Linked DNA regions of Callithrix jacchus. The protein of the gene in region 1 interacts with the protein of each later gene in a pairwise test. Links are inferred from orthologs where the notes say so. Each region holds a gene or a part of one and is shown in the gene's direction. Other genes may lie near its edges.

Region 1 (4,427 bases):
CAAACTCCTGGGCTCCAGAAATCTGCCCACCTCGGCCTCCCAAAGTGCTTGGATTACAGTCGTGAGCCACTGTGCCCAGCCTTGCTCTTCCTTTAAAGCCTCTTGTCCTTCCTCAGGTCCCCAGTTCATAGCAGGATCATAGGTCATTGGGCGCCCCGCCCCCTCGTCTTCAAGATTCCCCTCCCTGTGTCAGTGCTCAGGCCCAGGGTCAGATGTGACTAGAGCCTAAGGGGCTGTCACCGTCCTCTCTTGCTGGGACTCACAGAGGGAGATCTCAGCAAGCCGTCTGTCCATCACATGGGCAAACGAAGAGCATACCGTGGGCTGGATGCAGCGGCACAATCCCAGTAATTTGGGAGGCTGATGTGGGAAGATTGCTTGAGCCTAGAAGTTCTAGACCAGCCTGAGCAACATGGCAAGACCCTATCTCTACAAAAAAGTTTAAAAATTAGCCAGGTATGGTGATGCATGCCTGTAGTCCCAGCTACTCGGGAGGCTGAGGCGGGAGGATCACTTGAACCTGGGAGGGTGAAGCTACAGTGAGTCGTGGTTTCCCCACTGCACTCCAGCCTTGGTGACAGTGAGATCCTGTCTCAAAAGGACAACAAAAAAGAACATATTCTGATGCAGAGTAGGGGACATTGCTCTGACAGAGGCTCAGGGGCCTGAGCTGGCTCTGTGAACTGGGGAAGAGGCGGACAGCCAGGCCTTGTCTGCAAGCAGGAGACCTGGCAGCGCTGGGTTGGCCGCCCCCCAGGGCCTCCTCTTCGTGCCCACTGAATGACTCACCTTGGCACAGACACAATGGTCAGGGGTGGGCACACTGCCTGCTTCCCGCCGCACCCCAGCCCCCCTCAGATGCTTTCCGAGAAGCCCATTGAGAGGGGGCTTGCCTTGCACACCAGCCTGACAGCCTGGCATCTTGGGATAAAGGCAGCACAGCCCCCTAGGGGCTGCCCTTGCTGTGTGGCGCCACCGGCGGTGGAGAACAAGGCTCTATTCAGCAAGTGCCCGGGAAAGGGGATCAGAGGAGGTCCAGGCATGGACAGTGGGTGGCAGGGGGGAGAGGAGGGTTGTCTGCTTCCCAGAAGTCCAAGGACACAAATGGGTGAGGGGCCTCGGCAGGGTTCTGACCCTGTAAGACCAGAGTGGAAAGCATAGATGGACCTGAAGTCTCCAGGGACAACAGGGCCCAAGTCTCAGGCTCCCAGTTGGACCCAGTGGCTCCTGAGTTCCCAAACCCATCCATCCCCAGAGGTCCTTCTCATCTCCACAGCCTGATGTGTGGTAACTTGAGGAGATAAATCTCCAGTGGGAGATGGAGGAGTGGCCAGGGAAACAGGAGCAAAGAAGCAAAGATTCGAGCCGGCACAGCCAGCTGATGCATAACTGCTTTGCGGAGCTGTCAAGGCCCAGGCTCTGGGAGGGGGGCGCAGGGAGGCAGGCAAGGAAGGGGTGACCCGGAGGGACAGACCCAGGGGCTGAAGTGCAGCCATGGACTGGGCCAGAGAGCACCAGCCCCTTCTTGCCCTATCAGGACCTCCACTGCCATACAGAGACCATGACTGACCTGAGACAAAGGGCTGGTGTCCAATCCCAGCCCCCAGCCCCAGAACTCCAGGGAATGAATGGGCAGAGAGCAGGAATGTGGGACATCTGTGTTCGACGGGAGGAGTCCAGGGGTCTGCTGGGAATGGGGCCTAGTCGGAAACTATGATATAGACGCCCCTTGAGGAGATGGAACAGGTTTGTTCGTCACCAAATTCCCAGCACCTTGCAGGCACTTACAGCTGAGTGACAGAAGGCCTGGGTTATCAAAAAGCTGGAAGGCAGGTCAGAGGTCATCTGGTACAGCCCTTCCTTTTTTTTTTGAGACAGGGTCTCTGTTGCCCAGGCTGAAGTGGTGCAAAGACAGCTCACTGTAGCCTCAACCTACTGGGCTCAAGTAATCCTCCCACCTCAGCCTCCCAAAGTGCTGGGATTGCAAGTATGACCCACCCCACCCTGCCCTTCCCTTCCTTTTTAATTGATGCATAATAATCGTAATATTCATTGTGGTCCAACCAACCCTTCTTGACCCACCTTCCTAGAGAGAGGGTCCTCTTGCCTCAGTGGTCAGGGCCCCGGACCCATGGTCTGGCTCCAGGCACCACCTGCCTCATGCAGGAGTTGGCGTGTCCAGGAAGCTCTGCCTCTGGGCACAATGACCTCAATGGGGTGAGAGGAGCTCTCCCCATAGCTGGGCTGCAGCCCAACCCCACCCCCTCAGGCTATGCCGGGGGCGTTGCCAGGGGCAGCAAGCATTGCCAGCCCAGCCCACTCCTTCATAAAGCCCTCATGTCTCAGGAGCAAGCAGAGCCAGGGCAGGATGGAGAGGAGACGCATCACCTCCGCTGCTCGCCGCTCCTACGTCTCCCAGGGGGAGATGATGGTGGGGGGTCTGGCTTCCCGTCGTCTGGGTCCTGGCAGCCGCCTCTCCCTGGCTCGAATGCCTCCTCCACTCACGACTCGAGTGGACTTCTCCCTGGCTGGGGCACTCAATGCTGGCTTCAAGGAGACCCGGGCCAGTGAGCGGGCAGAGATGATGGAGCTCAATGACCGCTTTGCCAGCTACATCGAGAAGGTTCGCTTCCTGGAACAGCAAAACAAGGCGCTGGCTGCTGAGCTGAACCAGCTGCGGGCCAAGGAGCCCACCAAGCTGGCCGACGTCTACCAGGCTGAGCTTCGAGAGCTGCGGCTGCGGCTCGATCAACTCACTGCCAACAGCGCCCGGCTGGAGGTCGAGAGGGACAATCTGGCACAGGACCTGGGCACTGTGAGGCAGAAGTGAGAAGGAGATGGGGAAGGGGGGGGCCTTGTGAGCAGAGGGGGCTGAACCCCCAAGAGGGAGTCCCCGAGAAGTCTCAGGCAGGGGCTGAGCCTCCCTGCTCCCTGGGTCTCCCTACCTCTTGATGGGGCCTTATCCTTGCCCCTACAGCATGATGAGAGGGACCAGAAAGAGGCCAGGGCCCCGGGGATCTGATTCCCAAACACCTTCTGCCAGGGAACCAGGGTCCCCTCAGCACCTCCTCACTGAGGAAAGCAGTGCAGGAGCAGCCGGGCCCCCAGCAGCCGGGCCCTTGCGTTTTCACTCATGGCTGGGCCTTGTGACTGTGGGCAGCGAGCTCACCTATTCTGAGCCTGGGTCTGTATAAAGGAGTTGGAAGTGGAGAAGGTTGGCATCCAGGAGGGAGATTGGATTCTGGGGTAAAGGAAGTGGGGGAAAGCGCAGGCAGGCCTGGGTGTAGAGCACAGGTGACAGCCTGACACCAACTTGTGACCCCCGTCAAGTCACTCTGACTTGCACAACTATGAAGCAAAGCTCATAATAAAATTCATTTCAGAAGGTGGTTACCTGGGATCAGAGGAATCCCCAGGGGCATGGCGCTTCACTGAGCTGGCAAGGCGCCTGTGTGCCTTCAAGTGCAGGAGGGTGTGTGTGTGTGTGTGTGTGTGTGTGTGTAGCAGTGAGTATATGTCAGTGGATGCGCCTCTGTGAGCAGGAACAGGTGCACCAACCCTGATAAGGCACCTTGGTAATGAGTTAAGGCAAAAGCGCGCATCTGCTCATCCTCCAGATGAGGCCTCTGTCTAAAGCCCCCCAACCCTTACTCCTCCTGCTGCTCTGCTGGTCCTGGGTGCGGGTGGTCTCTATGACAGTTGCCTCCAGGGAGATTGGGGCAGAGACCCAAGTGTCCTCATAAGAGCCTGGACCCAGGAATGTGTCCCCCAACTCCAGGCTCCAGGATGAAACCAACCTGAGGCTGGAAGCGGAGAACAACCTGGCTGCCTATAGACAGGTCAGGGAGGTGGAGGGAGGGGCTAGGGAGGGAGGAAAGGGGTTGATGGCAACCCACCCAAACACAGCCCCCAAGCTCAGCCCTCCAGAGCAATGTGCTGCTCCCCACTGCCCCAGAAGGAGGGGTAAGGCAAGGCTGAGGCATGGGGAGGAAGAGCCTGAGGCCCAAGTGGCCCTCTGCTCCTCACCACTCCTGCCACTCCAGGAAGCAGATGAAGCCACCTTGGCCCGTCTGGATCTGGAGAGAAAGATCGAGTCACTGGAGGAGGAGATCCGGTTCTTGAGGAAGATCCATGAGGAGGTGAGGCCAGGGAAGAGGGAGGAAAGCTCAACACAGAGATTGCAACTGAGAGAAGGAGAGGCAGAGACAGAGAGGCTGAGAGTGAGAGAGACACTCAGAGAGAGGAGAGAAACAGAGACTGGCAGATAGAGACAGAACATGAGAGAGAGAAAGGCAATAAGGGAAACAGACAAGAGAGCGTTCTAACCCCTGGCTGAGGGGCAGGCAGAAGAGGACATGATGCTGTGGGGAGCCCCAGCTGTGGCCTGTACCCTGAGCCCTGGTTCCCCTTCTCTCACCCCGGCCAGG
Region 2 (3,957 bases), on another chromosome or scaffold:
TTTTTTTTTTTTTTTTTTTTTGCATTTTTAGTAGAGACAGGGTTTCACCATGTTGGTCAGGCTAGTCTCAAACTTCTGACCTCACGTGATCCGCCTGGTTGGCCATTATTTTAAATCCCAGCAAGAGTTAGCTGCTCTTCGTAGTCACTGTGTTTAGCAGCCCTACCACAGAGGCGTGATTAATCCAACTTAACCAACAAAGATACAGGCTCAGGCCCAGGCACCATGGCTCATGTACATAATCTCAACACTTTGGGAAGCTGAGGCGGGAGGATCATTTGATCTCAGGAGTTCAAGACTAGAATGGGCAATATTGTGGGACTCTGTCTCTAAAAACTTTAGTTTAAATTAGCCGGGTGTGGTGGCACACCCCTATAGCCTCAGCTATTTGGGAGACTGAGGTAGGAGAATCACCTGACCCCGAGAGGTTGAGGCTGCCGTGAGTTGAGGGCACCATTGCACTCCAGCCTGGGCAATGGAGTAAGGCCTTGTCTTTAAAAAAAAAAAAAAAAAAAAGAGGCCAATGCATTGCCTCACACCTGTAATCCCAGCAGTTTGGGAGGCTGAGGTGGGTGAATCAGGAGGTCAGGAGTTCAAGACCATCCAAGCCAGCATGATGAAACCCTGTCTCTGCTAAAAATGCAAAACATTAGCTGGGTGTGGTGGCAGGCGTCTGTAATCCCAGCTACTTGGGAGGCTGAGGCAGGAGAATCTAGGAGGTGGAGGTTGCAGGGACCAGCGATCACACCACTGTACTCCAGCCCAGGCGACACGGTGAGACTCTGTCTCCAAAAAAAAAAAGAAAAGAAAGAGGCTTGAAAGGATGAGCTGTCTTTCTTAGGGAGTACTTAGTGGCAAGTCCAGTATTTGAACTTGGGCCCATCCAGTTTCAAAGCCTGTGCTGTGTGACTCAGCGAAGTGGCCTCTGGTGAGCACCTGTGGATTGCTGGCCCCTTGCAAACTGCCCTGTCCATGTGTTACTGAGGACAACTGTTAACCCAAGTACGTGCCTCCTACGCCATCTCCTGACTTCACAGAGAAATGACTGCAGCCCCGAGAGGGGAGGTTGACTTGTGCAGGTCACACAGCCAGGGACCTCCCAGGGAATGGAACAGAAATTAGACCTGGAATTGATTTGCACTGAGGACTGCACGACTGAGGTGACAGTGCATTTTCTAACTTTGAGAAGTCATCACTGTTGTGAATCACTCTGTCGGGTGTTCTTTGCAGCCCACCAATGTCCAAGGGTTGCCAGGGGCACAGAGCCCTGCCCTGGGTGGCCTAACCCAGGGAGGGAGCCCCCTGCCTTGGCAAGCTGGTGCAAGACCCAGAGCTCTTAGGCACACACCCAGCGGGGGTGATCCCCTGAGTCTAGCCCATCCACCCAGCAGTGCTCAGGCAGAGGTTCCGGGACACTCCCACATCCGTACCTGACAAGTCTCCCCTCCACCCGGCTCCTGCTGCCCTTAGCATATCCTTCCCTCGAGGGCCCCCAGTGAGATTTGCTGGCCTGGGTATCAGAAGACCCCTGGGGTCACTCAGACCATCTTCTTTCATGTCTTCACCTGCTTAGGCCATTGAGTCAGCAGAAAGGAAAAAGCAAGAGAAAGCTCAAGAACTAGAGGACAACTTGGCCGAGATCACCAACCTGCTGCGTGGGGACCTGCTCTCTGAGAACCCGCAGCAGGCAGCCAGCTCCTTCGGGCCCCACCGTGTGGTCCCCGACCGCTGGAAGGGCATGACCCAGGAGCAGCTGGAGCAGATCCGCTTGGTTCAGAAGCAGCAAGTCCAGGAGAAGCTGGTGACTGCCCCTCCCCTTTTCCCAGAGCCGGCAGAGCTGGCCCCTGTGCTCCTGCTGCCTTCCAGGCACAAATCTCCTTGTAGCAGGCCTTGTGCTCTGCCCTAGGAGCTGGCCTCAAGGAGTTTCCCTTCTAGTCAGGGGAGACAGGCCAGATAGTCTCACACCCATATGATGTGGCATCAGGAGTAGGAGTGCCAGGAAAGAGGACAGTAGACTGGATACACGTTGAAGCAGAGACCCAAAAGCAGGCAAGAAGGGAGCCGTGTGTGGAGCTGGGAAAATGGCGACCAGGCGGGGGAGCTGCAAGGGCAAAGGCCTTGAGGCAGGACCCATCAGACCTGCTCGGAGAAGAGCGAGGAGCCTGGTGCCTGGAGTGGAGTGAGGGAGGGGCAGGCGCCGAGGCCGCAGAGACAGGGGGTCGAGGTCCTGCTGAGAGGCTGCTGGAGAGGACTTTGGCTTCTTCTGTGACTGAGACAGGGAACTCTGGAGGGTTTTGGACAGAGGAGTGACAAGATCTGACTTAGGTGGAACAGGATTCCCAGCCTGACCCCCTGTGTTGAGGGTGGATGCGAGGGGCTGAGGAGGAAGGAAGGGGACCTCTAGGAAGGCCTTGCAGTGCTCACGGTGAGAGGCCATGCTGGCCGGAACCACAGCACTGGCAGTGGGGGTGCTGGGAAAGGGTCAGATTCTGGATATATTTGGAAGGTAGAGTCTACAGGACTGGATGAAGGATTGGGTGGGGGCGTGTGAGAGAGAGGAATTAGAGACGACTCCAGGCCTTGTGGCCTGAGCAACTAGAGGGGTGGAATTGGCATTTCCGGAAATGGGGAAGATAGTGGGAGGAGCAGGTTGGTGGGGTGGGAGGGGTGGAAATCAAAATTACAATTTTAGATATGTTAAGTATGCAAAGTTCATTAGATATCTGTATCTATTAGGATTAGATTTGCTTGAATGTGGCAGAAAACCACAAATAACAGCATCTGAAAATAGTCTCTTGTGTGTAGTCTAAATCCTCAGGAAAACAGTCCAGGGCTGATATGGCAGCTCTGTGGTCACTGACCCATGTCCTGCTATCCTTGTCTCCTGGCTGTCACTTCTTAGCGCAGGATGGCTGCTTGAGCACCAGCCATCACATACATAGTCCAGCTACCAGGAAGGAGGCATGGAGATTTTCACTTACATTTCACCGGACAACATTTAGTCATGAAGTTGCCCCTAACTCTAAAGAAGGCAGGGAAATGTCACATTTATTCCAGGCAGTGACGTGCTGGTGATTCTTTTACTAAGGAAGAACGAAAAATGGCTCCTGGGAGAGAAGTGGTATTTTCTATCACAACCTCCAATTAAAGCCCTGCTGGATATGGAACAGGGCTCAGAACAAGGTCTGGGCCGGGGGCAGAAATGTGAGTTGTCACCTACAGAGAGTATCTATGTATGCATTTTGAGACAGAGTCTCACTGTATCACCCAGGCTGGAGTGCAGTGGTGCAACCTCTGCCTCCCAGGTTCAAGTAATTCTCCTGCCTCAGCCTCCTGGGAAGCTGGGAGTACAGGCATGCATGCACCACCATGCCCAGCTAATTTTTGTATTCTTAGTAGATACCTCTACTCCTGGTCTCAAGTGATCTGCCCATCTCAGCCTCCCAAAGTGCTGGGATTACAGGTGTGAGCCACTGCACCTGGCCCTACAGAGAGTATTTTAAGCTGAGGACTGAGTCCTGCTCCCCACAGGGTCCCCCTTCTCACTACCACCATTTATAAAGAGCAAAGGGACCTGAGAAGGGGCCACCAGGGAGGTGGACGGATGCAAGCCATGGTTTCCTGGAGGCCAAGTGAGGAAAGGTTTGTGGGGGGAAGGGGAGGGGAACCGCTGAGTCAGACACTGCTGCTAGGCTGTGGGCTAAACCCTGAGCCGGCACCATGGTAGCCGCCGGGGACCCTGTCAGGAAAGAGCGTGTTTGGAGAGGAGTGGGGCTGACATCCTAATGGGCTCAAGAGAACAGGCAGGAAGGAAATGGAGATGGCAAATGTAGACAACACTTAGAAGCGTTTGCTGTAAAGGGTGCAGAAAAATGGAGCGGTAGCTGGTCAGGGCCGTGGCGTGCAGGGCAAGCTTCTGTCTGTTTAGATTGTGTAAATAACACCACACTTGTGATA
Region 3 (3,957 bases), on another chromosome or scaffold:
ATTTGTATCCTGGTAAGATGGCTCTGGGGGTGGGGGAAAGTCCAAATTGGTAGCATTTGCTTTTTGTGATGTAAATATTCCCCTATGTCCAATTTCAACTTACTAACACGATGTCACTGAACACACAGAAGTACTGCTAAGAATCGGCTTTTGTGAGCCGGTGTGAGCCAGCTACAGTTCGCTGCTGGAGCTGAGGCCCAGGTGTGCATGAGAGCCAGGAGTCCTCCTTCCTTGCAGCTCAATAGGAAGAGCACTAGGTTCTTTCAGGGAAGGTAAATTCATAAAAGAACATGAGTTCAGGCCGTATAAACTGTTAGTCACTCATACGTTGCTATTTTCACTCTGTTTACATTAATTCATCAAATATTAATTTGATTGATTTTGTTAAAAACATCCTCAGTGCCTTGGAGAAAGAGTATCACATGAATCAGGCAGGAATTCTTTAGTCAAGGAGCCTACCACACTTGGCAGATAAGAGACTTCTGTGCATAATGAAGGGAGATAGAGGTAAATACCTTCACACAGGGGCAGATCAAGCACTGTGATAATTCAAGGTTAGAGTAAGCTTTTCTCAGTAAAAAGGTACCTACCAGAAGCCCTCCTGGTAGGGGTGGCACTTGAGTTCAGGCCTTATAACCTGAATAGATTTGGGAAAGCAGACAGAGCTGGGGCAAGGAAGATCATTCCAGGAAGGTAGGAGTCATGTGAACACAGCCAGGAGATGGGCACAGTTTGATTGGCATATGATGTGTAGTGTAAGAATTCATGGCTGGGGGCGGTGGCTCATGCCTGTAATCCTAGCACTTTGGGAGGTCGAGGTGGGTGGATCCTGGCCATCATGGTGAAACCCCATCTTAAAAAAAAAAAAAAAAGAATTCATTGGAAGGGCAGGTTGGAGAGAGGTGATGAGGGGACCTGGATGGAAGATTGACCAGTTTGGACTTGGCTCATTAGACTATGGGGAGTTGTCTTTTGAGCAGTAAAGGGAGAAGAAAAAAAGCCTGTAACATCTTGGGGGCTTTGCACCTCTCAATTACTCCTGACAGTTATGCAAGAATTGCTGAAATGGAGGACTTGGAGAAGATACAGTAATTATGTAAGGCAAAATAGTTGTTTAGTTCCAAAATCCGTGCTCATTGCACCAGGAAGTGACTTGGTCAGGAATGTGTATTGAGATGGATCTGAAGGCAGATCTGCATCTAAGAGGAGGACTGGGGAAGGGAGAGCAGTAGGAAGGTGCGTCATAGTTTAGGTAGAATTCCAGGCAGGAATTAGTACAAACTGCATTCAGGGTAGATGAAGTGGGATGTGTAAGCCATGATGGTAGCATCAGAGGACTTAGCCATCATCTAGATACGGGGACTGGATGCTGGGGAAGAATCAGTTGCTAAGTGTTGGTGACTAGGAGGATGTCACTACACTAACAGGTAACCAGGAGGAGGGGCCTTGGGAAGGAGAAAGGGCAGAGCTGATTTTTGGTTTGAATACATTACAGTTGAGAAATATGTGAGATATTTTGTTGGAGATACCCAGCAGCTAGCTGGAAAAGTGAAACAGGAGCTTGTTAAAAAAAAAACCAAAAAACAACAAACAGGCTCGGTGGCTCATGCATTTAATCTCAGCACTTTGGGAGGCCGAGGTGGGTGGATCATGAGGTCAAGAGATGGAGACCATCCTGGTCAACAAAGTGAAACCCCATCTACTAAAAATACAAAAATTAGCTGGGCATGGTGGCGCGTGCCTGTAATCCCAGCTACTAGGGAGGCCGAGTCAGGAGAATTGCTTGAACCCAGAAGGTGGAGGTTGCGGTGAGCCGATCGCACCATTGCACTCCAGCCTGGGTAACAAGAGCAAAACTCAGTGAAAAGAAAAAGAAAAAAAAACGTGAGGGCTCTGGCGGCATCCAGTAAAGATAGTTGAAGTCAGAAGGCCAAAGGCACATCCTTGAGGAGTGTACGTACAAATACGTCCTCAACCGAACACGTCCAATTGCTACTAAAATGCCAGCATGGCTTGCTTAAGGTCCACAGTTTTGGGTTTTGTTCTTTATTCTTCCGCGTCTTTTACGACAGCTTTTACATAAGACACGTGGCTACAAGTTGCCCACGACTTCCTGGGAACCTGCAGACCTTTAGTACCTATTTGGGTCAAACCGAATGTCAGGCACTTTTAGTAACATGAGTATTTCATTAAGACTCCTTCATTGTTAATGGCCGGGTTACTTCCTGGAGCGAGTTCTGAGCAGGAAACAAACAGATAATGTGCCGATAAGCTTTCTGGGAGGGGAGTTGTACTCAGCATGCCTTTTCTATCTATTTCATCAGGACTTTGGGCTCCAGCAGAAAATGTTTATTTTTCTAGGGGACTTACTGATCATTTTACTTTTGGGGGTGCGGGAGGGCAGGTCAAATCATCAAGGACATAGACTCTGGAAGTCCAGCAGAAGAGGCCGGCTTGAAGAACAATGACCTGGTAGTTGCTGTCAACGGCGAGTCTGTGGAAACCCTGGATCATGACAGTGTGGTGGAAATGATTAGAAAGGGTGGAGATCAGACTTCACTGCTGGTGGTAGACAAAGAGACAGACAGCATGTACAGGCTGGTAAGTAATATGAATAATAGCCATCGATTCGCGCAGTAAGGCCGGGCCCATTCACTCCTGTCCTCAAACTTTGCACTGTTAGGACTTTGCTCCTTTAACTGGAAGACGCCTAACAATCGTCATTAAGGCTGAACTGACCTCCAGCTGGTCGTGACGAGAATGCCAGATGACTGAGGAGTTTTAAGTGCTTGGTTCTTAAGATTTTGAAACCATTTGCGGACTTACTCGGTGATCTGAGAAAATCTATGGAGAACGTTAAGTCTGGAAATAAAATTGTTCCCAAAATAGGGAACAATTAGATTTTAAGCTTTAGGTCAGTTAAGTTCTATCAATGGCGTGTAAAAGCCTAGAAAGGATTATTAAACAGCTCGTAAACTCTTAGCAAATAAGAGAAACACAGACTAAGACCAAGCTGAATGAAACTCACTCTATTTTCTCTTAGCTCTTATAACACCTACTACTGCGTGTTTTAAGTTTTTTTGAACACTTTTAATACAAGAATTGAGGTTCAGTCTAGTTTAACAGGTATCTGGGGGCCTTCTAAGTACCATCTGTCTTGCTAGGTGTTTATCGTAAAGATGAACAAGATAAATGTTCTCTGTAAAATGCAATAATAGCAGATTCCAAAATAAATGATACAGAGGGAGGAATACGATGGGTGGTGATATATTAGGCCCTCCTCATAGATTAGGAAACTGAAGCTTAGAGAGATTAAGTACTTTGCTATTTGAACCCAAATTCTTGGATCTGTAATTCGTTATACCATATTCCTCCCTCAGCACATTTTCATGAGATATTTCAAGGGAATCTTGTAAGCAGGATTAAACAATGAATTGGTTTAATGGCCTTTTTAGTTACTTGAACTGTCATACCCAGAAAATACTTGATATCAACCTGAATAGAAGTCTTTAATGGCATGCTACTTGTTCCTAACCAGCTAATTTTTTTTTTTTTAAGATGGGGGTTTCACCATGTTGGTCAGGCTGGTCTTGAACTCCCTACTTCAGGTGATCCACCCGCCGTGGCCTCCAAAGTGTTTCGATTACAGGTGTGAGCCACCATGCCCAGCCTCCTAACCAGCTAATTAAAGTTGAAAGGAGATATGGAAAATATATTAACATACTTGGCCGCCTGTAATCCAAGCACTTTGGAGGCCAAGGCAGGAGGATCACCTGAGGTCCGGAGTTCAAGACCAGCCTGACCAATGTGGTAAAACCCTGTCTTTTTTTTAAAAAAAAAAGAACCAACTGCAGCTGCCATGAATGATGAGTCATTTCGAATTTGGCAGAAAAAGTCAAGCAGGAATTGGAGGCGGCTGCTGAAGTTGTTTGTTGTAAAGGGGATTCTAACCCCCTC
Region 4 (4,713 bases), on another chromosome or scaffold:
GCTGTCACTAATTTCATGCAAACACTCATCATCTCTCACCTGTATTACTGTAATTACCTCCTAATTAATCTTTCTATTGTTTCTCTCCATCTGATTCATTCCTTACCCAGCTGACAAATCACCTTTCTAAAATATAACTATGATCATGTCACACCCTGTTCAAAAACATTTGATGGCTTCTTTATTGCCTAGAGGAAAAAGTCTTAGCTCCAAACATCACAATCCAACTCTAATTACCACTGAGGCCTTATCTTCTGCTACTAACCCCTACATTCCCTACTTTCTGGATATATAAATTTCTTACCATGCCTCAACTGATTAATGCTCTTTCTCATTGCCATATTAATGTATGATGCTCTCTATCCAGAATGATCTTTCATACCTGTTAAACTTATACCTATTCAAGAACCAGTTCAAATATAAGCAGCTCAAATACCACTCATTCTGTAAAATCTTTTCTAATTCCCCAAGGTAGATTTTATTATTTCCTCCTTAGTGCTCCAAAGCACTTTGCAAATATCTCTGTTATACATCACTGATCAAACTGTATTATAATTATCTATTTTATTCATAATTTTATTTCCCACTTTTACAGAAGTCTCCAAAAACTAGATGACAAGAATATTCTTTGTATCTCCCAGTTGTGCCAAAATAATGTTTGGCACACTGTTTGCCTTCAGTAAGTGTTGAGGAATAACTAGGTTGTACCTCCTACCTTATTGTGAGCATCTGTGTGCCGGATGACATTCCTCAGGAGGACTTTCCCCAGTGGAATCCGGGACATTCTTCAATCTGAAATGAATCAACAAATAATGTTTAGTAATAATTTCTTTAATTATGTCATCTTTTCTTAAACTTTATAAAGAAGCATGAGGTAAAGGAAAGATCACTGAAAACTAGAAGTCAGAGATCCTAAGTTTTCCCTTTACTATTAAAAGAGGGAAATGCCTGAACACACTAATGTGAGATGAAAAAAGATAATGTACATTAAAGTTCTTTGAAAATGCACAAGACTGCATAAAAATAAATGCTTTCATGAGCACTATTTTATTTAATCCTCATAACTCTATTTTGTATGGGGCAAATATCTCCATCCCAATTTTGTAGATGAAGGTCCCTTAAAGCTGTAATATCCCAAGCCACACAGTCCCAGGCAAATGATGTAGGTCAATGTCTAGATTAAAAATCAAACCTCCAATCCCAACATTAGTTTGCAATGAAGCAAATACGTAAATTTGAGAGTGTCAGGAACCGCAGATGTCAACAGTAACAGAAACTAATGACTCAAAACATCAAAGGCAAAGATGTCCCAAATTTCTCCATTTGGGGGCATTTTATTTCCTGCTTGGTATGGAAGCTTCCAAAAACTAGATGACAAGAATATTTTCGTGTGTGGCTAGCAGGGCTTTGTGCAACCATCCCAACGCTCACTCACCCCTTGATCCTGAGGGAATCAGGCATCTTGTTAGTGAGACGAAGAACCACTCCATTACAAGATCTCCTCCGACCCAGGAAGCCAAGGAGTCAGGGCTCAAAGGCAGCTCTGCAGCTTCACCCGAGTCCTTCGTGAAAACGCAGCCTTCCCACTGGTTATTCTGCCCTCACCTGTGGCCCAGGCCTCTGCCGCCCTCAGCCCAGATCCACAGGCAGATTCTCTCTCCCGGACCGAAGCCGGATGCTGAGCCGGCGCGAAATTCGGACGGCCGGGATGACCCGGGCATTCCCCGCTCACGCTCCTCTGGGACGAACCCCGGGGGTAAGTTTCACTCCCCAGAAAAGATGGGAACGCTTTGGATGACTACGGCCTTAGGTTGGGCCCCAGGAAGTATCTAGGGGGCCTGAAGCGGGTGTTGAGGTTTCCAAATGGAAGACAGAGGAAATATCCCCATCTTTGTCATCGGGATCCCTGCCCCTCAGCGGCCTCGGAGCTCCCGGTAACCTTCCCTCCAAATGCCCTCCCCACACAAATACACACAAACACACCCATACCGTGCGCCGCAGCCTCGCGTGGCGGGGGGTAGGGGGGGAAGAAGCGATTTGGGAGAAAAAGGAGACTTCCTTTTCAGGCCGGAAGTCGTTCTCCTGAGAAATCTTCCCACCAACAGGCGGCCCAGAGACTCCCACAAGGGAGGGTTCTCGGGACACTCCAGAGACTAATTGGTGCAGAAGCGTGGCGGGTGCTTGCCTGTAAGGTGCTAGCTTGGCATCAGAAGGGAGACATTCCGGAACTAGATATAAAGAGACTTTTCTGCCTGAAACTCCCCGGACCCAATTAGATGTTGTACCAAGGCTGGTTACCCTGGTAACAGACGTTGCGGTTTGTCAAGGAAGTAAGAGGTGGGTTTGCCAACTTACAGATTACCCGTTAGAACTGAGAGAAGAGGTGGGTTTGCAGACCTATGGAATGATTACCCGTTAGTTAAGTTTGCCATTTAGCGTAACCCTAACATAGTAGTTGAAGAATCTAAACCTCCTCTTTCCTTCATTGTGAAGATGCTGTGGGAGACCTCTCTAATGGAAGAAGAGGCCAAGGAGAGTTATCTGAAGACCTAAAGGGTCCCAGCCTCTCTATTAGCTGACTTAATCCTCGCAATAACCCTATGATATAGGTATTATCATCTTCATTTTGAGCAGAACAAAGAGGCACACACACACACACACACACACACACATATTAATAATTGCTCAAGGTCAACAGCTAGAGACAGAACTAAGACCGGAATCTAGGCATTCTGGCTCGCGAGTCCATGCTTTGAATTACCAAACTATCCTGACGATTAAAGAAGTCTCACGTGGCCCTAACCCAACATAAGATTTCAGAACTGGCAATATTAGAAGTGGCAATTTCAGAACTGGGGAGATACGAGTCAGGTGTTGAAACAAGAAGATCAGGAAACCCAGACTTAAAATGATTACTCTGACTTGTCAGGGTCCAATGTAAGGCCTTATCTGAGAGGACAACATGAGAAGATAGGAGGAGGTACTAGATAATTAAAGAATAAGGAAGACATAAAGTGGTGCTGATCCACCTTTTAGACACAGGTGCTAAGTGCTAACTTCACGAGAACAATTCCTGCCCATTCCGCCTCCCCAAAGCAGAAATAAATCAATAGTTCCACAGACATTTTTCTTCCTGAAGTCATGTCTTTCCACAGGCTTAAGAAACTTATTCACCATTCATCAGTTATGGAAACATCCTCAAAGGGTCTGCTCACCCAAGTTACTCAGTTTTGGAATCTCCTAGATGATCTAGCTGAAAGTGACCCTGAGGGCTATGAGAAGTTTATTCAACAGCAGCTGAAAGAAGGGAAACAGCTCTGTTCTGCCCCAGAACCACAGCTTTGCCTACAGACCAGGATTCTGGTAAGTTGAGTTAGTGCCAGGGATGGGGAGGTCTTGAAATTATCCCAGAATAACCAGGGAATACCTTACACTTAGCTATTGCTACTTTTTTTTTTTTTTTTTTTTTTTTGAGACCGAGTCTTGCTCTGTCACCCAGGCTGGAGTGCAGTGGTACAGTCTTGGCCCACGACAACCTCTGCCTCCTAGCTAGGTTCAAGCGATTTTCCTGCCTCAACCTCTTGAGTAGCTGGGACTACAGGCATGTCCCACCACACCTGGCTAAGTTTTGTATTTTTAGTAGAGACGGGGTTTCACGATGTTGACCAGGCTGATCTTGAACTCGGTGATCCACCCGCCTCGGCCTCCCAAAGTATTGGGATTACAGGCATGAGCCACTGTGCCCAGCTAGCTACTGCTAGTTTAACACAAGAAAACTTGAGGGAAATTGCTTCTCATAGAAAATGAAACACAGCATGAAAAGACTATGTTGAAGGAGTAAAAATGGGAAATTCATACTTGATAGTTCTTGGAGATTTAAAAACCAGCCATTTTTTCTGCTAAAATAAAGATTAAAAAGTAGTGAAATGATTTAGTAGAAAATTATGGAGTTGGAATTTTTTCAAATAACTTATTTGGTTAGGGAGATAAAGAAGTGGTAAAATAAGGTCAAATTCACTTAGAACAACTGCTTCCTTCCAGTTCTGGGAGCCGCAAGTTTTGTTTGTTTGTTTGTTTTGAGATAGGGTCTTGCTGGCCCTGTCGCTCAAGCTGGAGTGCAGTGGCACAATCACAGCTCACTGCAGCCCAAACGATCCTCCCACCTCAGCCTCCCAAGTAGCTGGGATCATAGGTACCACCACACCCAGCTAATTTTTTTTTTTTTGAGATGGAGTTTTGCTCTTGTTGCCCAGGCTGGAGTGCAATGGCATGATCTTGGCTCACCACAACTTGACTCCAAGTTCAAGCGATTCTCCTGCCTCAGCCTCCTAAGTAGCTGGGATTACAGGCATGCACCACCATGCCTGGCTAATTTTGTATTTTTAGTAGAAACTGGGTTTCTCCATGTTGGTCAGGCTTGTCTCGAACTCTCGACCTCAGGTGATCTGTCCACCTTGGCCTCCCAAAGTGCTGGGATTACAGGCGTAAGCCACTGTGCCCGGACAGTTTCTAAATTATTTTTGTAGAGACAGGGTATCCCTGTGTTTCCCAGGCTAGTCTCAAATTCCTAGGCTCAAGCGATCCTCCTACCTTAGCCTCCCAAAGTGCTCGGGTAACATACATGAGCCACCATGCCTGGTCCGGATTCCTGATTAAAAGGCAGCAGCCACCAGCATGGTGGCTCATGCCCCTAATCCCAGCTCTTAGGGAGGC
Region 5 (3,957 bases), on another chromosome or scaffold:
ATACCGATGTCAGAGTTTGGTGGAGAAAAACAACTGAAATCTAGTCTTGGTAGTGTTCATAGCATGCTAACCTTATCCCCCCATGAGGGTTCTGGTGACCCTCCCTATTCACCATACCCACTCACTGGGGGAAGGACCTGAAACTTGATGGAAGACTAAGTTAAAAAATAAAGCCAGGCACGGTGGCTCACTCCTGTAATCCCAGCACTTTGGGAGGTCGAGGTGGCCGGATCACCTGAGGTGATCTCAATCAGCCTGACCAACATGGAAAAAACCTGGCTCTACTGAAAATACAAAATTAGCCGTGCATGGTGGCACATGCCTGTAATCCCAGCTACTCGGGAGACTGAGGCAGGAGAATCACTTGAACCTGGGAGGCGGAGGTTGCTGTGAGTCGACTTTGCACCGTTGCATACCAGCCTGGGCAACAAGAGCGAAACTCCCTCTCAAAAAAAAAAAAAAAAGTAGGTATTACTTTAAGAGGAAGTGGGATCTAGTAAGATTTGCAAAAAACAACAACAAAAGTATTCATAAAATTTTACTTAGTAAGCTGCTTTGAGATTATTTTATCAGTAAGTGCTAACTTTTTTGGGGTGTTTGTTATCATTCTAAAATAGAAATTGATGAGCGTAGGGATGAAATGACTTTCCCAGGGTCCGAAGTCTTGGTGCTTGGGCTTGAACAACAACTGCTGCTGATTGCTGGCCTGAAGTTTTTCACGGGGCCCTATTGACTTCATTACCTTTGGCTGTGTGTCCAGCAGTACTTGATCTTTGTAGCATTTTGTAATGCAAAGACTGTCCTATCGGCTGTTCAGAATTCTGTGATATTCATAATCTAAGCCCTTATCTCTTTCTTACTTTTTATTTGTCTATGTACAACAGCCAGTTGCTTTAACATCCTTCGCCAAATAACGTTATCACTGGAAATATGAGATAATGAGACCTCTAGAAATTCCTTTGAGAGTCAAGCTTAGGTAGGGTGACTTTGTATTTTGTCATTTCTGTAAAACAAGTTCCCTTAGAATGAAGAATATCTGACAATAAGTATAAGGAGTGAAGCAAAGTAATGAATTCTGAGTTAGTCTGAAAAAATCATAGTTATGTTGTATTGGTGTGATTGCCTTTTTTAGTGTTAGAGTTCTGCAATCAGTTGAAGTGTTTAATAAGATTGAGGACTTTGGGAAAGATGCATCGTTATTTCTTACATGGGTAAACCCTTCCTAAGAAGCTATTGTCTTCCATTTAATGCATGAGATGTTGAGTAAGCTGTAACTGGTTTGTTGTGAGAGAGGCCAAAAATTTTCTTGTTTTCTATCTTTGTTGTCTGCACTGTAAAGGTAAGACAACAAAGATGAATAAAATCTTCATCTTGCATGTGGAGGAAATAAAGCAAGTTGAAATACAGTGACTATGGCATTGTGGTATGTGTGTTATTAATGATTTAGAGCTGCACTGCCCAATGTGGTAGCTAGTGGCCACATGTGGGTCTTAAGCACTTGAAGTGTGGTTAGTCCAAATTGAGATGTATCATAAGTAAAAAATATTTACCAGATATTAAAGACGTAATATGAAAAAATACCCCACTGATATTTTAAAAAATGATTATTTTTAAATTACAAAAATTACATGTTGAGATGAAATGATACTTTTGATATATTGGGTTAAATAACTTTATTAATTTATTATTATTATTTTCGAGACAGTCTTGATGTTGCCCAGGGCTAGAGTACAGTGTTGTGATCACAGTTCACTGTAGCCTCAAATTCCTGGGCTCAAGTGATCCTTTCGCCTCAGTCTCCTGAGAGGCTGGGACCACAGGCACATGCACCACTATGGCTAGCTAATTTTTAAAGTTTTGTAGAGAAGGGATCTTACTATGTTGTCTAGTCTGGTTTTGAACCCCTGGGCCCAAGTGATCCTCCTGTGTTGGGCTTCAAAAGCACTGGAATTACAAGTGTGAGCCACCATTCCTGGCCTAAATTAATTCTTTTAATATGACTGCTATTACATTTGTGTTGGACAGCACTGAATTAGAGTATAAAATGCTTGCCAGGATTACAATTTAATATTTTCTGACTTGTACAATATGAAATATGGAGACATATATAGAACACAAAGTACAGTTATGGTACAGTGTACATGGATTACTTTGGTATATTTAAATCTATTTTTGCATTTTAGTAAACTAGCATGTATTTAAAAGCCATACAGGGTCTTAAACAATTGCTTCTGGGCCATCCCTGAGACTTAAAAGTACAGAGCAACTGCCTCACATTGCCACTATACTGTTGAGAAGAACAGGTTGAAAAGGAATCCCAAGTAACTGTTGAGTGTGTAGCACGATCTGGGTTAGGGGAGTGATGGGGACAGGATGGACAGGGCTTTGCTCAGCTTCAGATCTTCCTCCTCTTTCTTGCATGTGTGGCATCTGACCCAAGGGTGATTTGCCTCTGAGTTCAGTGACTGGAAATCACTAAGTTGGTGGATTCCTGAGGCTGCAAGGGGTTAAAAATACCAAGTTTTGCTGAAAAAAAAAAAAAAAATAGAAGATGCAATGTGAAGCTGGAACTGCTTATAACCTTTGTTTTACACCCAAGCACAAGTCAGTAGAGTAGTGTGGAGGAAATGTTGCCCTTTAAGATTGATGACTGCTCATTTCCTTGCTCTTCAAAGGTGTTTTTCCCATTTGGATACCCAGCTGGGAATTTGAGTCATTTTAGAAATTTGACTGACTGCTAAATCAGATGTATGTGCTTTTTAGCTTTAATATTTTAAAATATCTTTTATTATGTTGTCTGTTCCTTAATGTTTGAGTTGGGACAAAACATTTATTGCATTTTAGATCACAGTGCTGTCTAGATTTTTTTTAATAGATTGACTACTCAGCATCAAAATTTGCACATCAAACACTGTGAAAATCTAATTTGTTTGGTTAACTGGTGATAATTCTGTAACAAACATTAAGTTGCGTATTGGGAGGGGTTGGTTTTGAAAAGGAATGTTTTCATTGGTGATAGATTTTATAGTCATAAAGCAATCTGTGTATATTAGAGCATAATCAGATAAGGAAGTGGTAGTAGAAACCAATAGACTATAGATTACCAAAATTAAGATCTCATGCAACAAAATATAATTAACAGCATAACTTGAATGTAATTTTTACGGGATTGTCTTACGAATGGTAGTGACTCTAAGTGGTATGTGAAATGCTGTTACTAGCACATGCCAGTTGATAGAATGCTGGAAAAATCACATTTTACAGTATATTTTAGATAGGATTTTTGTATGCTTAAGGGTGACTTGGCTTCTGTTTTTTTTCTTTCCTTTTAGAATATGGTTTCTAGTTTTAGGGTTTCTGAACTACAAGTATTACTAGGCTTTGCTGGACGGAATAAAAGTGGACGCAAGCATGACCTCCTGATGAGGGCGCTGCATTTATTGAAGAGTGGCTGCAGCCCTGCGGTTCAGATTAAAATCCGAGAATTGTATAGACGCCGATATCCACGAACTCTTGAAGGACTTTCTGATTTATCCACAATCAAATCATCGGTTTTCAGTTTGGATGGTAGCTCATCACCTGTAGAACCTGACTTGGCCGTGGCTGGAATCCACTCGTTGCCTTCCACTTCAGTTACACCTCACTCACCATCCTCTCCTGTTGGTTCTGTGCTGCTTCAAGATACTAAGCCCACATTTGAGATGCAGCAGCCATCTCCCCCAATTCCTCCTGTCCATCCTGATGTGCAGTTAAAAAATCTGCCCTTTTATGATGTCCTTGATGTTCTCATCAAGCCCACGAGTTTAGGTAAGTGTTAGAGAATTTAGTTTCTTCTGAACAAGAGAGTAAATGAAACGAGAGGCCTTCGACTATTGATACATGATTTGCTGTTAATGTAGTAAAATTGAGACATCAGTGCTGAATGTTTTAATGTATAGATAAAAATTTGGCAACCAT
Region 6 (3,957 bases), on another chromosome or scaffold:
TCAGTCCCCCTCCACTGCTCAGTCCCCCTCCACTGCTCGGTCCCCCTCCACTGCTGGGTCCCCTTCCACTGCTGAGTCCCCCTCCACTGCTCAGTCCCCCTCCACTGCTCAGTCCCCCTCCACTGCTTAGTCCCCCTGCACTGCAGGTTCTGAGCAGTGCCTGGGCAGCCTTGGAGTGTGCTGGAAACCTCCAGAAGCCAAATAGTGCAAACCTGAGCAACACCATGGGACTGAGGAAAGGGCTCAGCAGGTGATGAACACATGCCATGGAGGGAGGGGATGCAGCTTGAGGACCAGGGGACTTCCAGCCTGGGCACCTAGAGGAGACACCATCCTGCAAAGAAATTGACTGAAATATTGAAAAACTGAGGTCCGAGTATAGAACAAATCCATAGCCCCAGACACACAGGCACGAGGTAAACTGTTAGAGCATTTTGAACAGAAAAGAGTCACTTGAATCACCGTCGATTGTTATTAAATTATTAGACAACTTCTGATGACAGGCGAGGAAACACGGGCTCTGTCTCTCCCTTAGTGTGAAGACCAGAAGGTGGAGTGCCTGTACGAGGCGCTGAAGAGAGCTGGAGACAGGCTCCTGGGCTCCTTCCCCACAGCCGTGCCCCTGGCTCTCCACTCCTCCATCAGCTACCTCGGCTTCTTCCTCAACGGCGGCCCCGCAGACGTCATTCGGGAATTCGCCATGACCTTCGCCACAGAAGCATCTCTCTTAGCAGGTGGGCAGCCCTGGCCGGTTGAAAACACAGGGCCGGGTTCACAGTGAGTGAGCCCTTCGTGGCAGGGACGAACTCCCAGCACACAGAGGCAGTGGGTCGCTTCCAGGGAAGCAGAGCCCACAGCAATGGTGGGATGGCGGGGTGGGCTTTCTCCTGGGCTCAGTGGATGCACCCGTCCTCACCGAGGCACTTCCGTGTCCACTTCTGGATTTTCAGCCGGGTGCGTGGACATGGTCTTAACCTGAGGCTGAAGAATTTAACTAGAGCCTCGTTTTTGAGCCACTGCAGCCTTCAAAAATTCAGGCTGATGGAAGGCTTCATATAAAAACACGGGCCGATGGAAGCTTCATATGAAAACGGGGGCCGATGGAAGCTTCATATGAAAACGGGGGCCGATGGAAGCTTCATATGAAAACGCGGGCCGATGGAAGCTTCATATGAAAACACGGGCCGATGGAAGCTTCATATAAAAACGCGGGCGATGGAAGACTTCATATGAAAACGGGGGCCGATGGAAGCTTCATATGAAAACACAGGCCGATGGAAGCTTCATATGAAAACGGGGGCCGATGGAAGCTTCATATGAAAACACGGGCCGATGGAAGCTTCGTATGAAAACGGGGGCCGATGGAAGCTTCATATGAAAACGGGGGCCGATGGAAGCTTCGTATGAAAACGGGGGCCGATGGAAGCTTCATATGAAAACGGGGGCCGATGGAAGCTTCATATGGAAACGGGGGCCGATGGAAGCTTCATATGGAAACGGGGGCCGATGGAAGCTTCATATGAAAACACAGGCCGATGGAAGCTTCATATGAAAACGGGGGCCGATGGAAGCTTCATATGAAAACACGGGCCGATGGAAGCTTCGTATGAAAACGGGGGCCGATGGAAGCTTCATATAAAAACGGGGGCCGATGGAAGCTTCGTATGAAAACGGGGGCCGATGGAAGCTTCATATGAAAACGGGGGCCGATGGAAGCTTCATATGGAAACGGGGGCCGATGGAAGCTTCATATAAAAATGTATGCCGATAGGAAGCTTCTGGACCCACAGTGGTCTTCTCCTTCAGTGGAAATAGTCTTGTTCGCATTTAGTGGTTTTTCAAACACTTAGCTATATGCCAACAGCCCGGGAAACTGCCCCAGAGGGGTGTGCCAAGCATCAAGCCTGACTGGGTGACCGTGACAGTGTTGGAGGCCGGTGCACATGGGTAGTCAGGGCTTCCTGCCCTCGGCCTCGAATGGGAGACACACGAGTCCTATGTGACCTCTTTCTGTATTATCAGAATGAGCTCAGTGCTCTCTCCTTGGCCTCTCCAGGGAAGGATTATTTAGACACATGTTGAGAATCATCAAAATTCCCTGCTCTGGAGCCTGAGGCTGGGGTTTGGTAGAAAGGATTCTGGACTTGGCATCAGAACATGTGGATTTTTTCTGTGTTCCTGATGAGTGGCGTGACCTTAGTCAAGTCAGGTCCACTCGCTCTCTTTTCTTTCTCTACAAAACGATGAGGGCTCTCACTCTTCAAGAACAATGTTGCCTGAGTCTATGGCGCACCCGCCCCGGTTCCCAGGACACAGACGGTGCTCAGCGTTGTCATGATTTACCAGCTCTGAAATCTGACAAGGCCGCAGTGTCTTGGTGGGAGGGGCCCTCCTCTCTCTCCCCGGGAATGTGTCTGTCTCTGTCCTCAGACACGCGTGAAACAGACATCTTGGCCCATAAATCCAACCATGAATCCCAGGCTTCCATTTGGATGCCAGCTTGTGAATCTGGAGACCGAATCCGCCGGATAATTAGAAAGTAACCCCTGGTCTTTGTGGAATGAGTCTCCTCTGCCAGACGATGGCTCTTTCATACCCCAGGCTTCCCTAGTGAACCTCAACGGCGACATCTTAAAAGCAGGAAGGCTGAGGCTGTGAAGGGCAAAGTGCCTGCCCAAGGTCACGTGGTGTGTGCAGTGGCGTCCCCTAAAATATATGTCCACCAGCAACCTCAGACCTCCCTTGGAAATAGGACCTTTGCAGATGCGATTGGTTAGGAGGAGGTCACACTGGAGTAGGGTGGGTCCCCATAAGTGGAGAGGCCGCACAGAGACACAGAGAAGCCATATGCCAACTGAGGCAGAGACGGGAGTGATGTGGCCACAAGCCAAGGGATGCCTGAGGCCACAAGAAACTGGAAGACACAGGAAGGACCTTCCCAGGAGCTTTCAGGGAGAGCGCAGCTCTGCCAACACCTTGATTTTGAACCTCTGGTCTCCAGAAACTGGAGAGAATAAATGTCTGTTGTTGGAAACTGATCCAGTGCCCTAACCAGTCTGGTGGAGCCAGGACCTGAACCCAGCTCTGTCCTGCTCCACACCACCCGGGTTCATGCCGAGAGGCCCCACTTCCTGTGCAAGCTAGCATTGACCTCACATCCACACCCTGACCTTGAGCAGGCTCTGCCCTGCCCTTTTCTGGCCCATGCCCTCAGCCTGACACTGAGCGGGCAGAGAGGCCTCTCCCAGTGACAAGTGACCAGTCACTGCTCTGAAGTGGCCAAGCGCCCTCTTGGGGCAAGCGCACCAGACATCCTGCCCACAGTGGCCCTCCCCAGTGAAACGTCCCCGTAGGCACGGGTCTGTGGAGAGAAGGAAACACAAGGACCCATTCACAAGTCAGTGTGACTCACTCTGACATCAGCCGCCAGCAGTGGGTCTTTCCCAGGCCTTCCTCCCCAACTGCTAAAAAACAGTCAGAAAAGGAATTTCCCCACCACCTACACACTCCCGCCGCTCTGGGCTGCGCGGCCTCAGCACCTGGGCCAGCCAGAGACCGTGGGAGCTTCCCGTTTGCCTCTAAAGGTTCACCACTCACGTGGGAGACAGCAGTGGGCTCCAACTTCGGGGCTCTGAGGAAAGGCTTGCATTACCCTTGACATTTTTAGGGGGTGAGCAGATCCTGTCTGTAAGTGCCTTGCCGTGGAGCGAGGGCAGGTGACCTCTGCACTGACACAGCGTCTCTAGCAGGAAATTTTAAGAAGCTGATTTCCCACGGCAGACCTGGCAAGCAGCCTCTGCCATCCTCCAGCAAATGCTGCTGAAACAGAAATTGGGCCTGGCCCAGAGGCTCGGTCAAGGTCACCTTGCAAAAGGGGGGCACAGTGTGCCCTAAAACTACGTCTGTCCACCCCAAAGTCTGTGTTGTTCCCATCAAGACACCGACCGCCTCCCTAGG
Region 7 (3,957 bases), on another chromosome or scaffold:
AACTTTGATGAGAGGATTGGAAGCTGGTATTCTTGTCTTTAAGTAATGACTTCTTGTGTTTAAGATTATATCATGTTTAAGTATCTTTATATTCAAAGTTGAGTAAAAGGTGCTTTTTTGTTTGTTTCTTAAAATTTTTATTTATTTATTTATTGTGTTGTATTCCAGGATGTTTTGATATGCACAAGGAAATAATTACTACAGTTAAGCAAATTAATGTATTATTTATCTCACATAGTTATTCTCCTTTTTTGTCTGATAAAAGTACCTAAAATCTACTCTCTTAGCAAATTTTCAGTATATAATGGGGTATTATTAACTGTAGTCCTCTTATTGGACGTAATGTCTCAAGGCTTAGTTATCCTATAAAATGGAAACTTTGTACTCGTTGACCTCCGTCTTCCCATCCCCTCTCCTTGCAGTAACCACCTTTCTGCTTTCTGTTTCTGTGTGTGATGCATCTTTTCCTTGAAAATTGTTTTAACCTTTGCAACTACAAGGACATTTGTTTAGACTTGACCATTGCATTTCCCATTTGGTTTTTAGCATCTGTTTTTTTTTTTTTTTCCAGAGATCTTTGCCCTAATTCATTTATGGAGTGACTTAATCATGTTGAGCAATTTTTTGCCCTCAGAATTGCTAGTGCTATGCCCTCTTATTCTCTGCATTTTTCAAAATGATTTTCTTTTTCTCATACCTAGGAAGGATAATTTGATTGTAAATTGAATTCTTTATGTAGAATTATAGCTTAATTTTTTAAAAATTTCATCTTGAGTCTATTATTTATTTATTATTATAGATGAACAGCTGATAAGTCTGTCTTTCTTTTGCACGTAATTTGTTATTTATCTACCCCTATCCAAATGCAGGCTCACACTTATTCACTCCTTCTCCAATCTAGTCATTGTAAAGGATTTTCTTTTTCCTTGAGTTTTGAGATTCAGGAATTAGGGTTTTTTTCTGTTTTTCTTTGTTTCTCTTCTCCACCCAAGGCTATTGGATGAGCGCTTCTGAGAAATTGACTGGGGAAAATTTTCTTATATATTTTTAAAATTAATGCTCTTCTCCCATCATCTTTGCTCCATCTTTCTGGAAGCACTAATAAATGTATATTAGATTTTCTAGAATCATTGTTCATGTGTCTTTCTTTCTTATAACTTAACATTTATTTACTACCTTTTCCTGAAATGTAGAGAATTCCCAGGTTAATTTAGGTTTCAGCACTCTCTGTTCTTCCTTTTGTGTATCTGGGCATTTTTTTGTGGCACGTAATTTTATATTTGCAAGTTTTTCTTGTTCTTGAATTATTATTATGTTTTTCATGAGAGTCTGTTTTAGCATTTTAACCTCTTGAGTCTCACAACCAGTAGGAATTAATTATTTTTTGAAAAGTTTGTCTTTACTGTTTTCAGTGTTATACTTTGTATTAGTGCAGAGCATTTGGTCTAACTGGCTGTTTTTGGGGTATCTATTTGTTATTTGATAATTTTTAATTGTTTATGCATGTTTTTAAAAAGTGTGTCAGTGTAGGATGATTATAGGGGTCCTCTTTCACCCCCTTAGTGGGCTCTTCAGTATGCCGCTTGGCAGTGAGTCATACAGTGACATGTGGGGTGCAAGTCACTGAGCCATTCCTAATTTTAGATATCTTGTTTAATTTTTCTCCTTTGTAGTCAGTGGAAGTATTTCAGTCGAAATTAGAAGACGCTGAAAAAGCTGCATCCATAAAAGAAGATTATAGACGAGAACGGTGGAGGAAACCCACATATTCAGATAAAGCAAAAAATAGTCAAGAAAGTAGAAAATCAGACTTAGTAAAATATGATAACAGTTCACGTGATAGATATGCTACAACAGACTCTGCAAAAAATAGCAATAATGATAAATGTATTGGTGATGAAAAAGATAAGAGGCCTGGCTCTTTAGAAACATATAGAAGAGAATCTAACCCAAGGCAAACTCAAGAGTTTTCTTCTGGAAATTTGAGAGCTAAATTCTTGAGACCCTCTGATGATGAAGAACTGTCATTTCACAGCAAGGGCAGAATATGTGAACCATCTAGTTCATCTTCAGCATTGGTAGCTCAGGGTTCTTTGCACAGTGGTTTCAGAAAACCCACCGGGAACAGCGAAGAAAGATTAACATGGAGTCACTCTGATGGGAGAGGAGACAAGAAGCATTCAGATCAAACGCCGCTGGAAACCAGTACCAGTGAATACCAACACATTACCGAAGATACGAGAGAAAAACCGCGAGATGAAGGCTTCAGAGATGACCCTCCAGGCAAACACCTGCAGGACCCAAAGGCTGCATTTGCTGGGTATTTTATCATTTTTTAACCGAGAGTTCAAAGAACTGAAATGTAATTTTAGAGCATCAGTTGTTAACTGTGACTGTGGTCTCACACATCTTAAAATTGATAGAAAGGGTAAGATAGGCACGTTTAACAATGCAGTAATATTGTATTATAGATTGCATTTTTTTTCACAGGTTTGCTTCTTTTTTAGAAGAGCTGAAAGAATTCAGTAGCTGTATTTTTTCAAAATATGTTGCTTCTTTGCAATTCAAAAAACAGAATGAGTTAATGTTTTCAATGTATGTGCTGTAGGAGAAATTTTGGTAGATTTTGTTACCAGTGCCATTATTTTCTAAGTAAATTATCTTATTAAGTATAATCATAATCATAAATAATGTATGTCTGCAGGAAGTCTAGGAGACAAAAGGAAACCATACTACCACAGCCCAATATAAACAAATATGTGCCGGAGATCTTGCAAAAGGCAGCATGAATTATGGTTGTTATTTTGCACAGAGAAAGAAATAATCCACTTTGGACGATTGACAGATTTTAAAGATAATGTTAGAGTTTTAAGTGTAAAATATATGTTGCACTTATGTAGGGCTGGGTCAGAAGATGAGGAAACCCCCGTTGAATGAGACCAAACCTAAGAAAACTTGCTTTAGCTATAAGGCTGGCCCTGTTGAAGATAGCCAGAAAAACAAAAAGTGTCCAGAGTGTAATAACTTACACTTGAATGATCATTTAAATCTGGCACCAAATGAGTGGGACACTCCTAAAACGTCTTCAAAAAAAGGAAGAGGTTTTAGGAAGTAATAGAAACCCTTTGGTTGTAGTAAATAAAAGCACTGTGGTTTGGGGTGGTGAGTCTGATAAATCACTTTTGTTAATGACTCCATCTGAAGCAGTGGATTATAAAACTCAGTGTGTAACTTTCAGTGGGAGGGAGCTGGCAAAATCAGAACCGTGTGATTAAGCCCCAGTCAAATGGGCTCTGGTTCAGGTCAGGGCTTTGCTCCCAGGAAACAGAAGGAGAAATCCAATTGTATTGACTGAATAAACATGGCAGGGATTAGTGCCTAAGCCTGTGTGCATATATAATTATCCTGTCTTCTCTCCAGGTACCCTGGGTGGTAGACTGTTTTCAGTTCCCAGCCACTAGGAAATGAGGCTGTTATTTCCTGATATCATTAGGATTTGGGTTAGCATTTGGATGATCTGTAGGTCTTCTGTGACTGTAGCTGAGCAAAATGTCTACTACACAATTAGTATTCCAACTGGTTTTCTGATTGTTGCATATTTGCATGTCTTGTTTAAGTTGTGATCTTCTGATAGATACACTATAATACAGGCACTCACTAAAAGCTGTGTATGTATGTGTGTCTGTGTGTATATATAATTTTTTGGTTTGAAGAGAGCATTCACTAAAAGGTATATGTGTGTATATATGTATGTATATTTGTAATTTTTGGTTTGAAGATACTATTCTTTGTTATCTGTGTTAATTTGATAGTAGAGAGGATTTGAGGCTTTCTGTAATTCTGTGACTGGCCGGAGAGGGAAAGAAAAATCTAGGAATCATCCAAAAAAAGAAAAAAGATTCCTCAGATTGTAGAGTGGTTGTAAAGTAGGAGACCAAGATAGAATGCCTAGAAAGG

The links.
Region 2: the proteins of GFAP (region 1) and RIBC2 interact in a two-hybrid assay, tested with the Homo sapiens proteins (2 studies listed by BioGRID and IntAct). The two-hybrid records come from large-scale screens. The link is inferred for Callithrix jacchus from reciprocal best matches to the Homo sapiens genes GFAP and RIBC2.
Region 3: the proteins of GFAP (region 1) and PDZK1 interact in binary tests that used the Homo sapiens proteins (3 or more experiments, as listed by UniProt). The link is inferred for Callithrix jacchus from reciprocal best matches to the Homo sapiens genes GFAP and PDZK1.
Region 4: the proteins of GFAP (region 1) and PIH1D2 interact in binary tests that used the Homo sapiens proteins (3 or more experiments, as listed by UniProt). The two-hybrid records come from large-scale screens. The link is inferred for Callithrix jacchus from reciprocal best matches to the Homo sapiens genes GFAP and PIH1D2.
Region 5: the proteins of GFAP (region 1) and PIAS2 interact in binary tests that used the Homo sapiens proteins (3 or more experiments, as listed by UniProt). The two-hybrid records come from large-scale screens. The link is inferred for Callithrix jacchus from reciprocal best matches to the Homo sapiens genes GFAP and PIAS2.
Region 6: the proteins of GFAP (region 1) and UBASH3A interact in binary tests that used the Homo sapiens proteins (3 or more experiments, as listed by UniProt). The link is inferred for Callithrix jacchus from reciprocal best matches to the Homo sapiens genes GFAP and UBASH3A.
Region 7: the proteins of GFAP (region 1) and CWF19L2 interact in binary tests that used the Homo sapiens proteins (3 or more experiments, as listed by UniProt). The link is inferred for Callithrix jacchus from reciprocal best matches to the Homo sapiens genes GFAP and CWF19L2.

What each region holds. Positions count from the first base shown.
Region 1 is NC_133506.1:85,323,888-85,328,314, reverse strand, and holds the start of GFAP (glial fibrillary acidic protein), read left to right. Parts: upstream 1-1,328; 5' UTR 1,329-2,272; coding exon 2,273-2,826; intron 2,827-3,778; coding exon 3,779-3,839; intron 3,840-4,043; coding exon 4,044-4,139; intron 4,140-4,426; coding exon 4,427-4,427.
Region 2 is NC_133502.1:214,533,709-214,537,665, reverse strand, and holds part of RIBC2 (RIB43A-like with coiled-coils protein 2), read left to right. Parts: intron 1-1,573; coding exon 1,574-1,801; intron 1,802-3,957. UniProt on the Homo sapiens protein: Microtubule inner protein (MIP) part of the dynein-decorated doublet microtubules (DMTs) in cilia axoneme, which is required for motile cilia beating.
Region 3 is NC_133519.1:8,106,428-8,110,384, reverse strand, and holds part of PDZK1 (Na(+)/H(+) exchange regulatory cofactor NHE-RF3), read left to right. Parts: intron 1-2,404; coding exon 2,405-2,601; intron 2,602-3,957. UniProt on the Homo sapiens protein: A scaffold protein that connects plasma membrane proteins and regulatory components, regulating their surface expression in epithelial cells apical domains.
Region 4 is NC_133511.1:11,775,290-11,780,002, reverse strand, and holds the start of PIH1D2 (PIH1 domain-containing protein 2), read left to right. Parts: upstream 1-1,655; 5' UTR 1,656-1,756; exon of another isoform or gene 1,757-2,084; intron 2,085-2,304; exon of another isoform or gene 2,305-2,383; intron 2,384-2,508; exon of another isoform or gene 2,509-2,609; intron 2,610-3,155; 5' UTR 3,156-3,186; coding exon 3,187-3,363; intron 3,364-4,713. Other genes in the region: uncharacterized protein NKAPD1, read right to left, coding at 716-784.
Region 5 is NC_133514.1:89,982,431-89,986,387, reverse strand, and holds part of PIAS2 (E3 SUMO-protein ligase PIAS2), read left to right. Parts: intron 1-3,332; coding exon 3,333-3,807; intron 3,808-3,957. UniProt on the Homo sapiens protein: Functions as an E3-type small ubiquitin-like modifier (SUMO) ligase, stabilizing the interaction between UBE2I and the substrate, and as a SUMO-tethering factor.
Region 6 is NC_133522.1:48,228,241-48,232,197, forward strand, and holds part of UBASH3A (ubiquitin-associated and SH3 domain-containing protein A), read left to right. Parts: intron 1-535; coding exon 536-734; intron 735-3,957. UniProt on the Homo sapiens protein: Interferes with CBL-mediated down-regulation and degradation of receptor-type tyrosine kinases. Promotes accumulation of activated target receptors, such as T-cell receptors, EGFR and PDGFRB, on the cell surface.
Region 7 is NC_133511.1:7,236,054-7,240,010, reverse strand, and holds part of CWF19L2 (CWF19-like protein 2), read left to right. Parts: intron 1-1,673; coding exon 1,674-2,320; intron 2,321-3,957.